Saccharomyces cerevisiae S288C: one gene and its partners. Changing the gene in region 1 together with any one later gene gives a genetic interaction. Each region holds a gene or a part of one and is shown in the gene's direction. Other genes may lie near its edges.

The links.
Region 2: mutations in CBS1 (region 1) and BIL1 together harm fitness more than expected from each alone (negative genetic interaction), as found in Saccharomyces cerevisiae (one large-scale study listed by BioGRID).
Region 3: mutations in CBS1 (region 1) and ERP2 together harm fitness more than expected from each alone (negative genetic interaction), as found in Saccharomyces cerevisiae (one large-scale study listed by BioGRID).
Region 4: mutations in CBS1 (region 1) and EBS1 together harm fitness more than expected from each alone (negative genetic interaction), as found in Saccharomyces cerevisiae (one large-scale study listed by BioGRID).

What each region holds. Positions count from the first base shown.
Region 1 is NC_001136.10:332,621-335,623, reverse strand, and holds CBS1 (Cbs1p), read left to right. Parts: upstream 1-1,813; coding exon 1,814-2,503; downstream 2,504-3,003. Other genes in the region: isocitrate dehydrogenase (NADP(+)) IDP1, read right to left, coding at 1-789; COX9 (cytochrome c oxidase subunit VIIa), read left to right, coding at 1,228-1,407; BDF2 (Bdf2p), read right to left, coding at 2,684-3,003. UniProt on the Saccharomyces cerevisiae protein: mRNA-specific translational activator of cytochrome b.
Region 2 is NC_001147.6:887,971-890,685, reverse strand, and holds BIL1 (Bil1p), read left to right. Parts: upstream 1-1,935; coding exon 1,936-2,166; downstream 2,167-2,715. Other genes in the region: MCH5 (riboflavin transporter), read left to right, coding at 1-819; RRG7 (Rrg7p), read right to left, coding at 936-1,664.
Region 3 is NC_001133.9:137,124-140,326, reverse strand, and holds ERP2 (Erp2p), read left to right. Parts: upstream 1-1,981; coding exon 1,982-2,629; downstream 2,630-3,203. Other genes in the region: Hsp70 family ATPase SSA1, read left to right, coding at 1-824; FUN14 (Fun14p), read right to left, coding at 2,817-3,203. UniProt on the Saccharomyces cerevisiae protein: Involved in vesicular protein trafficking.
Region 4 is NC_001136.10:860,192-865,282, forward strand, and holds EBS1 (Ebs1p), read left to right. Parts: upstream 1-1,862; coding exon 1,863-4,517; downstream 4,518-5,091. Other genes in the region: metal cation transporter MSC2, read left to right, coding at 1-1,329; DNA-binding transcriptional regulator UME6, read right to left, coding at 4,821-5,091. UniProt on the Saccharomyces cerevisiae protein: Plays a role in nonsense-mediated mRNA decay (NMD). Recruits UPF1 to cytoplasmic mRNA decay bodies (P-bodies). Negative regulator of gene expression. Inhibits translation most likely through effects on eIF-4E (CDC33). Involved in telomere maintenance.

The sequences.
Region 1 (3,003 bases):
ATAGTGGATCCCTAGTTGTTCGAATTTGGATTTATATTGAGCTTCATAAACTTCTTGGAAAATGTCTTTGAACCGACCGTCATATTTCTTCAAAATAGTGTTCTTGGTTGACAAGAAAAGATTTAGCTTTTTGTCAATGGCCAGCTTGAAAGACGAATGAGCAAACCCTTCGATGGATTCGTCAGTATTGTACATGGCCATGGCCACACCACTGCCCTTGTAGTCATACACTTTCAAAGTTTGTGGTTGAGCAGTCGTAGGGTCGGATGGCTTGTAGACCAGTTCCAAAGATCCTGGGCCTGGGATCAGTGTGTCCGTAGCTTTATATTGATCACCGTGGGCGTGTCTTCCAATAATGATTGGTTTTTCCCAACGTGGGACCAGTCTAGGAATTCTAGGAATCACAATGGGCTCTCTGAACACTGTACCGCCGAGAATGTTTCTGATGGTACCATTAGGAGATTTCCACATCTTGTGCAGGTTGAATTCCTTCACACGAGCTTCATCAGGAGTGATGGTGGCACATTTGATACCAACACCATACTTCTTGATCGCCTCAGCAGCATCCTGAGTAATCTTGTCGGAGGTGGCGTCACGAGATTCGACAGATAAGTCGTAGTACTTCAAATCTACGTCCAAGTAGGGTAGAATCAATTTCTTCTTGATCTTATCCCAAATGATACGGGTCATTTCATCACCGTCCAACTCGACAACGGGTTGTTTGACCTTAATCTTACTGAAAGCAGCAAGGCGAGAGGTGGAAAATAATCTTCTAGATAACATACTCATGCTGGGCGATCTTCCTTGTGCGTCTGTTGTCTCACAATTGCTTGAAGGAAGATTTCATAAGATCATATGAGTCCCTCTTTATATGGGCAAGTGGAATTATGTGAGTCAAAATCCGCGCGTGACCCGTAAAGCGTTATCAGAAGGTGCAAACGGTGCTATTTAGCTCATAAAAGGAATGATTCAAGCTCTTTTGGATTGTAAGACACCTTTATTTAGTCCAAGATCATTGCAGACCCTTGTTATGGTCTTTAGCAGAGTCCTCCTCTATATCTCTTCATTTACTGCAACCTGATTGGCCCGCTACCACGATGCCCGCTTTGTTCCTGTGGTATTAAAAGAATCGATGAAAGAGACTCTTATCTTCAGGGAAAATTAGGACCGAGAATTAGAGCAAGCAAGATATTTGCAAACTACTAACTACAAGCGACTTACACAGACATGACTATTGCTCCAATTACTGGTACGATCAAGAGAAGAGTCATCATGGACATCGTCCTCGGGTTCTCCCTCGGGGGTGTCATGGCCTCTTACTGGTGGTGGGGATTCCACATGGATAAGATTAACAAGAGAGAGAAGTTCTACGCAGAGCTAGCTGAGAGGAAAAAGCAAGAGAACTGACCGAACCTGACCACTATTGTTTTTCGCATTATATTCTTATTCCTATTTATTTATCTTTTATTTTTTTTCTGTGCTGGCCTCGATTGATTACTTTTGCAAGAGTTTGTAGGGAAGGAAAACAGACAAGTCATTCTTTTCTTTCTTTTTGACCTTTATCATAATTTTCTATTTGTATAATTTGAAAAAATAGTTTTACATATTTATGTAGTGTCAAACTAAAATAAAAACAAACTTAAAAAAAGAGTTATAGAAAATGTATGTGGAGAATAAGACAGGCAGACCTTGAGTGAACTAGGAATAGTACAATATTACCTTTAGGAGGTGCCACGTACTACCCCTTTGCTTCTATTCTTCTATGGTTTCTTTATAGCAGGATAAAAGAATAAATCAGATAATGAATCTCGACATGTTGAGGACAAAAGTGTTTGCAACTACTGTTGCTCGAATATCTGGGATTCGCAGGTATATTCCCATCAGAACTATAAACACGGTGACGAAAAAGAATATTAGTAAGATAGAAAAACTGTGTGAAGTCCTTGAAGTTAATCCTGACGGATATAAAGGAAAGGAACGCATACCGACTAAAGAACTAACTAAACTGCTATATACCACAAGCAGGAATATGTTGGTACGAGTACCAATGACTGGAGACTTGAGCACAGGAAATACATTTGAAACAAGAAACGAAACTTTACAAAAATTGGGTGAACAGCTCATTCACTTGGAAATTAATAAGATGCTTACAATAACATTTACGAATTTCAATCAGTTTAATATAATGAACAAAAACTTCAATTACATTCATAACTTAGATCGAGCTCGAGTAGTGAACATGGACTCGATAAGCTGGCTTATCAAGAATTCGTTGAAAATTAACCAATTAGCTCATTTGCGAATACCTGCCAATTTGCCGAAGGAAATGGGATTAACTTCCAGCTCTAATGATTTTCAGAACTTGAACGATTGGAAAGTGATCTTATCCTTTATTGGTTACCTGAAATTACTCGAAATTAAAAACGATAACAAAAAATTCATTGAATCAATTATAAAAACTATATGCATACCTCTAATTAATTACCATTTGCGTAAATCATAGTACAAAAGAAACGATGCCTTTTTGTCCGTTATCCCTTTGTTTTATTTACAATAAGTACGTAAAAACAATTATTTCTTATTTTTGTTTATAATGTTACAAATCTTTTTTATCCCCATTCTTCCCAATTTTTTTTTTCTTTTCTTTTTTTCCTTAATTAGGGCATGAAGCCCATTTCGATTGTTAATCACTGTCACTGTCGCTACTATCACTACTGTCTTCTTCAGAATCGGAATAATTATTATTATTTATGATTTCATCCTTTTCCAAAAATTTCAAGGTTTTCTTTTTCTTGTTAGTTGGCGCAGTCGAGTAGTTGCCACTTAGTTTTCTTTTGCTATTGTTGTTATTTTTTTTCTCAAAATATCTCTCATAAATTCTTGCAATAGTCGCTTCATCTAAAATATCCAAATCAATTTCAATTTCATCTTCATTGGAAGTTAGTATTTCATCTGCGGGTAATGAATTTTTAATGATACGAATCATCCCATTCATTTCTAAAT
Region 2 (2,715 bases), on another chromosome or scaffold:
TTCCCAATTATGTTGCGTAGTTTCTTCTCTATGAAGTCAGACACTGATCCAACTTATGGATTTGTTTGGGGCATTAGAACTTTAGGATTTTTAGATTTGGCTTTGCTAACTCTGTCAATCATTTTAGTCAAAGAGAGGTTACCACATGTTATCGAAAATTCCAAAGATGGTGAGTCACGTTGGAGATACATACTCAGAGTTTATATTCTGCAATGTTTTGATGCGAAGGCTTTCCTGGATATGAAATATCTTTTTTGTGTCCTGGGAACGGTATTTAGTGAGTTATCCATTAATTCAGCTCTTACTTATTATGGATCATACGCCACCAGCCATGGAATTTCTGCTAATGACGCCTACACCTTGATTATGATTATAAATGTCTGCGGCATACCCGGGAGATGGGTTCCTGGCTATTTGAGCGATAAGTTCGGTAGGTTTAACGTCGCAATTGCAACTCTACTCACTCTATTTATCGTCATGTTTGTTGGTTGGTTACCATTTGGTACCAATTTGACAAATATGTACGTTATTAGTGCCCTATATGGATTTTGTTCTGGAAGCGTTTTCTCCTTACTTCCTGTTTGCTGTGGCCAGATATCTAAAACGGAAGAGTTCGGTAAACGTTACTCTACAATGTACTTCGTTGTCGGTTTCGGTACTTTAGTCGGCATTCCGATAACAGGTGCCATTATCTCTATCAAGACAACGGCCGATTACCAACACTATATTATTTTTTGCGGTTTGGCAACTTTTGTAAGCGCTGTTTGCTACATAATTTCGAGAGCATACTGTGTTGGCTTCAAGTGGGTCAGATTTTAAAAAGTAAGACAGTGCCCTTTATAGATCTTCAAAAAAGTAATGCAATAATATTTTCTTTTAGGAAATGTGTAGATAGACTATTTAATTAAAATTTCCTTATGTTTTTTTTTTTTTTTTTATTTTTCCGAATTAAAGTCACTATTTTTGTACAACTTCAACTTCAGCCATTCAGAAATCTTGCAATCTTGCATTAACGTAGAGGCGTATGAATTCTCGTAATAATTAATTAGTTTTCCTGAATTGATTAAGTCAAAGTGCCCGTCAGTCTTCTCTTTCAGCATCTCAACACGTAAATATATCAGAGGAAGCGTGATGTTATTGATAAGATTTAAGGTATCTTTTGTTAACATATGAGGGGAACACATAATGCATACTGTTTTGTTGCGTTGACTATGTGATACTAGTGAGGTGAATGTTCCTACTAACTCACGGAATTCTCTAGGAGATAATTTTGATTTAGTGAAAGCCTTACATTGGACTAGTACTTTCAATGGTTCAAAAGTATGGTCGATTATCCTATACTTTAAAGGTTTCAATACGAAGCCATTTTGCGAGTTCGTTCTTTTTATGTTACTAGCCATTTCCAAATTGGGCATTAACGATGAAATTTTCCAATAAATATCATCTACTGGCCAGCTTCCCTTTATGTCTACGCCACCATCATGGGCGCCACCGGTTTTTCTCAACTTTGTCATTCGTAGTTTCTCAGATAACTCCCTCATCACCGTATATTCATAAAGATTTCCTTGAAACACCGTAGAATGGGCGACAGCAGCATTTTGTTTCACATATGCTTGAATTGCAGGATTATTGAGCCATCTTCGTCCCAAATAGTTTTTTATCATGTTTTATCATGTTTTACCGTTCTTTACCGTGTTTTATATAGGAAGAAGCTTTAGAAATTTGCTGCAGTATTTCGCTTCCTGGTCGTTAATTTCTATGTATCGATCAACCATGTTGTTTTGCTTTTCAGTTGGCCTCGATAAATAATTTGAAAAAAAAAAAAAAAAAAAAAAAACTAGCAAACCAATGAAGCGGCTTGGCTTACAGGTACATTTTACCTTAGCGCTAAATGATATTGTAAATGTGACTTGCATCTTCTGAAGGAGCACTGTAATGAGTACTGAAAAACTGGAAGCTTCGGAGGAACCACAGGCTCCCTTGGCCAATACATCTGAGACTAACTCAATAAAGGGAGATACAGAAAATATTGTAACCGTGTTTGACCTGGCAAATGAAATAGAAAAATCACTAAAGGATGTTCAGAGGCAAATGAAGGAAAATGATGATGAGTTTTCACGCAGTATACAAGCAATTGAAGACAAGCTTAACAAAATGAGTCGGTGAGAGCAGGTGAGTAGTAACATGGAAACTTCTAATGCTTTTATTCATAAAAAAGAAAACGCGTGCTATCGCGTAACTAGGTTGCAATTAACTACAGATCGTGCCAAATACGTGCTTTTTTATATGGTTTAGAAATATTAATCAACTGAAACTTAATAATATATTCGCATGTTTTTGGAGTCTCTGGGATAGCACTTCACCTATCCTTGGAAACTTGAAATGGAGAAGTTTTAACTAAATGACTTTTTTGGCAATTGCTCTCTTATAATTCAGTACACTGTTGTTAATGTAAGTTTGTAGATAAATACAATATGACAAGTATCAAAGCAGGCTTTAGTTTTCAGCAGTTCAATTATCTTAGAATGGATATGAATTAGTTAAAGCGGCTCGACCCAGTTAGACTTAATTTGTCCTCTTCATTCACCATTTTTGCAGCGATATCACATTTCATTGAAGGGAAAAAGGTGACTGAAATATGATTACCTGTCATTTATCATTATCAAACTTGAAGATAGTGGTCAAGAAGTGGCTACGGTTCATTATATAATGCGG
Region 3 (3,203 bases), on another chromosome or scaffold:
GTGCTGCTGTTCAAGCTGCTATTTTGACTGGTGACGAATCTTCCAAGACTCAAGATCTATTGTTGTTGGATGTCGCTCCATTATCCTTGGGTATTGAAACTGCTGGTGGTGTCATGACCAAGTTGATTCCAAGAAACTCTACCATTCCAACAAAGAAGTCCGAGATCTTTTCCACTTATGCTGATAACCAACCAGGTGTCTTGATTCAAGTCTTTGAAGGTGAAAGAGCCAAGACTAAGGACAACAACTTGTTGGGTAAGTTCGAATTGAGTGGTATTCCACCAGCTCCAAGAGGTGTCCCACAAATTGAAGTCACTTTCGATGTCGACTCTAACGGTATTTTGAATGTTTCCGCCGTCGAAAAGGGTACTGGTAAGTCTAACAAGATCACTATTACCAACGACAAGGGTAGATTGTCCAAGGAAGATATCGAAAAGATGGTTGCTGAAGCCGAAAAATTCAAGGAAGAAGATGAAAAGGAATCTCAAAGAATTGCTTCCAAGAACCAATTGGAATCCATTGCTTACTCTTTGAAGAACACCATTTCTGAAGCTGGTGACAAATTGGAACAAGCTGACAAGGACACCGTCACCAAGAAGGCTGAAGAGACTATTTCTTGGTTAGACAGCAACACCACTGCCAGCAAGGAAGAATTCGATGACAAGTTGAAGGAGTTGCAAGACATTGCCAACCCAATCATGTCTAAGTTGTACCAAGCTGGTGGTGCTCCAGGTGGCGCTGCAGGTGGTGCTCCAGGCGGTTTCCCAGGTGGTGCTCCTCCAGCTCCAGAGGCTGAAGGTCCAACCGTTGAAGAAGTTGATTAAGCCAATTGGTGCGGCAATTGATAATAACGAAAATGTCTTTTAATGATCTGGGTATAATGAGGAATTTTCCGAACGTTTTTACTTTATATATATATATACATGTAACATATATTCTATACGCTATAGAGAAAGGAAATTTTTCAATTAAAAAAAAAATAGAGAAAGAGTTTCACTTCTTGATTATCGCTAACACTAATGGTTGAAGTACTGCTACTTTAATTTTATAGATAGGCAAAAAAAAATTATTCGGGGCGAGCTGGGAATTGAACCCAGGGCCTCTCGCATGCTTTGTCTTCCTGTTTAATCAGGAAGTCGCCCAAAGCGAGAATCATACCACTAGACCACACGCCCGTACTAATTGATGTCTTCCTTTTCGGATAGATGTATATATATACAAATTGGTCAGATTGCTTTTGGCTCCCTTTCGTACGTAACTCATTTAGACTACGGATCACTAGCACTATCTCACCAAGTTTTTAAAAGATCCACTGTGATCATTAAAGATTCTATTTCAAATAAAAATCAATTATCATCTATCGACTAGTTTTCATGGTACTAGTATATTATCATGTACAGTGTGAGGGCTCGACATGAAGATTGAGAAGACAGTCATCGTTTTCAATGGAAGCTGAAATACAAGCACTGAATAAAAAGAGATAACAATATTTTAATGTCGTGATATTGGTTCCCTTCTGCTGGTCTTCGAGGAAAATTTCTGGTATGTTTTGTGTATCTAATATTATATAGCCTTAAATCACTACCTATTTTTCAGATCCGCCAAGGAAGCCACTCTGTGAACTTTAAATAATATTACAAATTGCTACAGCATCTCGAATTCAAGTGTTTTCAGACTTATTTATTTAATTCAAGAAAATGTTCATAAACTTTCATAAAGCAATCCTCAATCCTCTTAGCGCTAATGTTCACTGCACCTTACATGATGGCGTTTGGTTATATTTCAATCCTTTTCAGCGACGTGTCCCGAAACACGAAAAAGTACATTCTGCCAAAACTTGAACTAGTTAAAATGAAAAACTAACAAAATCTCCAGTGATTTCGATTCATTAACCTTAGGGATCGACACCGCCAATTCTGCATCAGGTGACCCAAACTAGAATAAGATAAACAGTGGAGTACACTCATTGTAAAGGAAAACCATGATCAAATCTACAATTGCTCTACCCTCTTTCTTCATTGTTTTAATTTTGGCGTTGGTCAATTCAGTGGCTGCATCTTCCAGTTATGCACCAGTTGCTATCAGTTTACCAGCATTCAGCAAAGAATGCCTGTACTACGATATGGTTACTGAGGATGATTCCCTGGCTGTGGGTTACCAAGTTCTAACCGGTGGTAATTTTGAGATTGATTTTGATATTACTGCTCCTGATGGATCTGTGATTACTAGTGAGAAACAAAAGAAGTACTCAGACTTTTTATTAAAATCGTTTGGAGTGGGGAAGTATACCTTTTGTTTTTCCAATAACTATGGTACAGCGTTGAAAAAGGTAGAAATTACACTAGAAAAGGAAAAAACTTTGACTGACGAGCATGAAGCTGATGTCAATAACGATGACATTATTGCCAATAACGCCGTGGAGGAAATAGATAGAAACTTGAACAAAATCACGAAGACTTTGAACTATTTGAGAGCCAGAGAATGGAGAAACATGTCTACCGTCAATTCCACCGAATCAAGGTTGACTTGGTTATCTATATTGATTATCATTATCATTGCCGTTATAAGTATTGCCCAAGTTCTACTTATTCAATTCCTCTTCACTGGTCGTCAAAAAAATTACGTTTAAGAACTTTTCAATCTACGAAAAATATATGTCCGCAATATAGAACACAATTAGGTTTATATTCGACGTGATTTTTTTTTCTTCCTTAGCCCTATGTATATTTACTGTATAGGATAAATGAAATACCAAAAATAAAAAAGTATAAAACGAAAGAATATAACCCTCGTTTATATCTGGTCATTTGTCTTGCTCATTTGTTAGCATTTAAACTTGCTAATACGAAACTCAATGTAAAGAATACTTTAAAACCCATGTATTCTGTACCCAATAACCCATCAATAAGCAGTTTCTTCAAGTCTACATCTTTCAAAACAATTACAGATTTGATATTTTTCAAATTAATGCGAATCCATCCCTTGTACCGTAACCATTCACAAAGAAGCATGCTTGTAATACCGACATACATAAACAAAATTGATATCTTAGCCACCGTAACTCCTAAAACAACACCGAATAATGATCCCAAAAACATCTGCTTGTGACTACTTATTTTGTTCCTCCTTTCCTCGGTAATTGCCGTACTGTTGCCCACAGTTGGTTCCAAGGGACCCTGTTGTTTGACAGCTGCCCCTAAAGA
Region 4 (5,091 bases), 530 kb from region 1:
GAATATTGTCGTATGTTTGACATAAAGTACATGATTTCCTATTTATGGCTGACAAGGTTCACCATTTTATTGACAGGCATAATGGCTATTGTAGTACATTTTTTATCGTTTAATGAAATTACTTCTTCCATCAAAACTGATTTGTTAAGTTTACTTTTCGTCGTAGTGGCAGAATATGTTTCCAGTTTCTCTAACAAACAACCTGATTCGCACTCCCATAATCATGCACATCACCATTCCCATCTAACCGATTCATTGCCTCTCGAAAATGAAAGTATGTTCAAACAAATGGCATTGAATAAGGACACCAGGTCCATTTTTTCGTTTTTATTGTTGAATACCGCTTTCATGTTTGTACAACTTTTATATTCCTTTCGTTCCAAATCATTGGGCTTATTATCTGATTCGTTGCATATGGCCTTAGATTGCACATCTTTGCTCTTAGGTCTAATTGCTGGTGTATTGACCAAGAAACCAGCAAGTGATAAATTCCCTTTCGGTCTAAATTATCTTGGTACCTTGGCAGGTTTCACCAATGGTGTTCTGTTACTCGGCATAGTGTGCGGTATCTTTGTGGAGGCAATTGAGAGAATTTTCAACCCCATTCATCTTCATGCAACAAATGAGTTGTTGGTTGTTGCTACGTTAGGCTTATTAGTGAACCTTGTAGGTTTGTTTGCCTTCGACCATGGTGCACATGATCATGGTGGTACTGATAATGAAAACATGAAGGGGATTTTTTTACATATATTGGCAGATACATTAGGTTCTGTTGGCGTTGTTATTTCGACGTTATTAATCAAGTTAACACACTGGCCAATTTTTGATCCGATCGCCTCTTTATTAATTGGTTCCTTGATTTTACTTAGCGCTCTGCCCCTGCTAAAATCTACTTCCGCAAATATTTTACTAAGACTGGATGACAAGAAGCATAATCTAGTAAAGAGTGCGCTAAACCAGATTTCAACGACGCCAGGAATCACAGGTTATACAACTCCTAGATTTTGGCCGACAGAGTCAGGCAGTTCCGGGCATTCACATGCACACACGCATTCTCATGCAGAGAATCATAGCCATGAGCATCATCATGATCAGAAAAACGGTTCACAAGAACACCCGAGCTTGGTGGGCTATATTCATGTACAGTATGTAGACGGCGAGAATTCGACAATTATCAAGAAAAGAGTTGAAAAAATATTCGAAAATGTGTCGATTAAAGCGTGGGTACAAGTTGAGCCTCAAAATTCCACTTGTTGGTGCCGGGCTACTTCTATGAACACAATTTCAGCTAACCCGAATTCTTTACCGCTACAGCCTATAGCAAATTGACAATTCTTTGTCCTGCATACCTTTTATATTAATTTTTTAAACAAGATTTCATATACATAACGGTACCTATCGTAATTATTGGCGGCTGCTTGTGTTGATCACGTCTTACGGGAAATATCACAATGGAAGAAAAAAAATACTTCTAACGAAGGAAAAGATGTCATCCAGCATTGACCTCAAATTACCGAAGAGGTTGATAAAGCAATTAGCATCCAATCGGTATCATAATTCGGAAATTAAGGGGGAATCCTCTACATTTGGTGTTTCTTCTTTCCATATATTTTGAATGTTTTTTTCCTATGAAAAGTGTCTTCAGGAATCATATATGTAAAGAGATCATTCAATTAAATACATCATCGAACTAAGATTATAAACAAGAATTTAACAAAGTCACTTAATATATCAAAAAGAAGGCTTTTAGGAACTCAAAAATCCGCATCATTTGCAATTTAAAACGTACGTCATCAGGCGTATATATTCAAAGAAAATATCTCAGTTTCATTGCACTGGCTTACAGTTGATATTTCAATTAAATGGAACCATCGAATACCCAAAAAGAAGATCTTCCTACCGCTTTTAATGGTATAAAAAGTCAATTAAACAGCATATTAAAATCGAATCAATTATTTCAAGATTATGCGCTATTAAATGGGTTCTTGGCATTTGTTCATTCCAAATTGAATGCCGCAATCCTTACATCTATAGAATCACAATGTGGGAAATCCTTTGCGGCTGATCTTGATTCTTTTGATCAGAGCAGTATCTCTTCGATTTTAGATTTTTCTTGGGAAAGCGTTCACTATCCAATATTCAAATGGTTTCAGATGTGGAGGAATTATATTCTTTTTGAGAAGGAGAATAAAAAACAGCAGACCAAATTTATCGACTTTAGAAAGATGAATTCGAAGATGTTAAAATTCTTCAAAACGGTGCAAAACTTCTATGTCAACGTTATCAACACGGTTTATAAGAAATATGATATATCTGTACTTTTGCCGAAAAGGATTATCCAAGACTTAAAGTTAAGTGACATCGAAAATACCACTAATGTTGGAGACATTCTTGCGGTGAAGACATTTAATAGTAGTAGCCCACTCGCACATCTCATCCCAACGCTTTTCCATCGCTGTCTCTTATTCTTAGGAACAGCGTATCGTTATAAAACTCTCCTCGAAGAAATTTCCAATAAATACAGCATATCCAATTTTAAAAAATCTCTGGACTTCTTTCGTTTAGCTTCGTTGGTGTTACCAAGTGCTGGTGAGACGTATTCGCAAGCAGGAGCGATATTCCTTCAAACAGGAAATTTGGGGATTGCAGTATTCAATTTTGTTAAAGGTATGATGACGAAGATGCCAAGCCCTGTTTCAATCAAAAATTTTGGGGCATTAATGGTGGACAATAAAAGTTCATTAAATCGTAGCTTGCATACTACTATCATGAACACTTACTTACAAGAATCTAAAGGACCCAGGACACCTGCTAAAGAGATACTAGAATTTTATTTCCTGGGCCTTTTTGGGTCTGTTTGGTCACCTACCAGTTGGAGAGATGATACAAAACCTAACCAATTAAATAACGGTATCAAGTTAAGGCATTTGGAAAATGCACTCTACGAGACGATGTCAGCAAGATACCTGAATAATATTAAGACCATCTTTCACAATTTGATCATTACAATTGGTGGGTTCCATCTATTATTAAAAAGGCGTTCCGATGTAAGTGCAAAAACCTTGAAGGATTTACGTAGCAATGAATTGGATTACCTAAATTTTGCATTCAAGTATATTGCTCACATTTTAAATGATATCGTTAAGGAATCATGGAGCGAAAATCCTGAGGTTTCAGAAATTCTAGGTATGGTAAGAATTATCAATTGTTGGATAAAAGCAAATCCCATGGTTCTTCAATATTCACAAAGTAATCTAGAGTTTGTTAATGCCTTGGCATACTTGATAAATGATATTGTGAAAAAAAAACCAAGTCCTTCTTTTAGTATAACAGAACATATTCCTAAAAGGACATACTGGTTCGAAGAAGACTTAATGGTGAAGGGTTTATCATTCGTTAACTTTCAACTATCTGATTTTGACGATTATGAAAAAATTCTTGAAATGGATCATAGTCTCGATAGATTAATTGGTAATCCGCCATTATGCGACAAGTTATCGGCATCATCTGAAATGCTGTTAAGGTTGCAGGCTGTTGTGAATATAAGTTCGCAATTATTGCAGAACAACAACTGCGGAGTAGAATGGTCAGATAATAAATCACGTTATATCTTTAATAAGAAAATTGGATTTAAGGAGACCGTTAAAAATAGTATGAAGACATCGAAGCAATCCAATGAAAAGGCCAAGTTACAAAGAAAAAACAAACCTTCGACCACTAATGGCTCAATATCCATGGCGGATTTGGAGAGACAAATGAGAAGTAGCTCTTTGGATTCTTTTTCTCCAACTATGGGTTATAGTGGTTCGTCTGTACCTATGGCCCCAGATACGTTCAATGTTAAGCCCAGCGGTACAATAACGGGGAACAAAGTAAATGTAGAACTGTTAAAAATCGAACTAAGCGGTCAAAACGCCGATGGCGCTATTACGAATATATCTCCTGGTTACAGTAACGCAGCGATCTCTTCTTCAAATTCGACAGATGAATCATCCTTCGATTTGAACAACATCCTATCTTCAATGCAACAAAAGCACGCGGAAAAATCATTTGCCAAATCCATGCAAGGGGTGAATGAACAAATTCCAGCGAATGACGTCTGCCATCAAGCCCAGAGGCCAATGCAAGGTGGTCTGTATTCATCACAGCAACCTTCATCGATGTCTTCATTAAACTCCGCGTATCAGAATGCCTCGATGCCTCCATCTGCCTCCATGGTATCCTATCCCTATCCTTTTTTGAACCAGCAGGGGCAAGGGGTCTTTCCGCCTTATAATGCACAAAATTTACAATGGCAGAGCGAAGCTTACTCATTAAAGTCAATGAATTTTGCAAATCCAACGTGGCTAGGTGACCAGTACCAGACATCTGCGCCGTCGTCAGCATATGCGCAAGCGCAACGGCAAATGTTTCAACAACCTATGCAGCAAGATGTGGGGAAGTACATGCAATTTCCTTTTGACGCCCAAAGCAACACGGACAGCATGAGGGGAAACAGTCGGAATAATATGTTTTAATATTGTTCGTTTTTTATCATAGTTTTTCAAATCTTCATATGAATACTAGGTAGAAATTTGGCTTATCAGTACGAATGAATTACAGTTTGACTGATTTGTACACGAGAATTGACGTATAACTTCTTTTGAAAGTCTTTGAAATTACATGGTAGTACATACATATATATATATATATATATATGTTATATTATTGTTAATTAAATATTATTATGCGTATTTTCCTTTTCTTTATTAGTATAGTATTAATGACAGTAATAATAATAATAATAGTAACAATATCTCTTTTTTTTTTTCAGTGAGCTTTTATTTTTTTTTCATTGCTCTTCTTTTGGCCTCTTTTGTTTTTTTCTTGATTTCCTCCAGTTTCATCTGTTTTTTCTTTGGATCAGATACAAAATCTGGTTTGAACGCGTCATAGTGACAGTCCAATTTCAACCTTTCACAGTTGAAACAGTGCGGTCTTTCCTCGGTACACTTCTTTTTCCTTAATCTACAAATCCAGCAACCAGTACGGGACCTTGTACCTTGAGACGTTGAGGAAGTAGCATTATTCGATTCTTGAGAATTGTTTGCT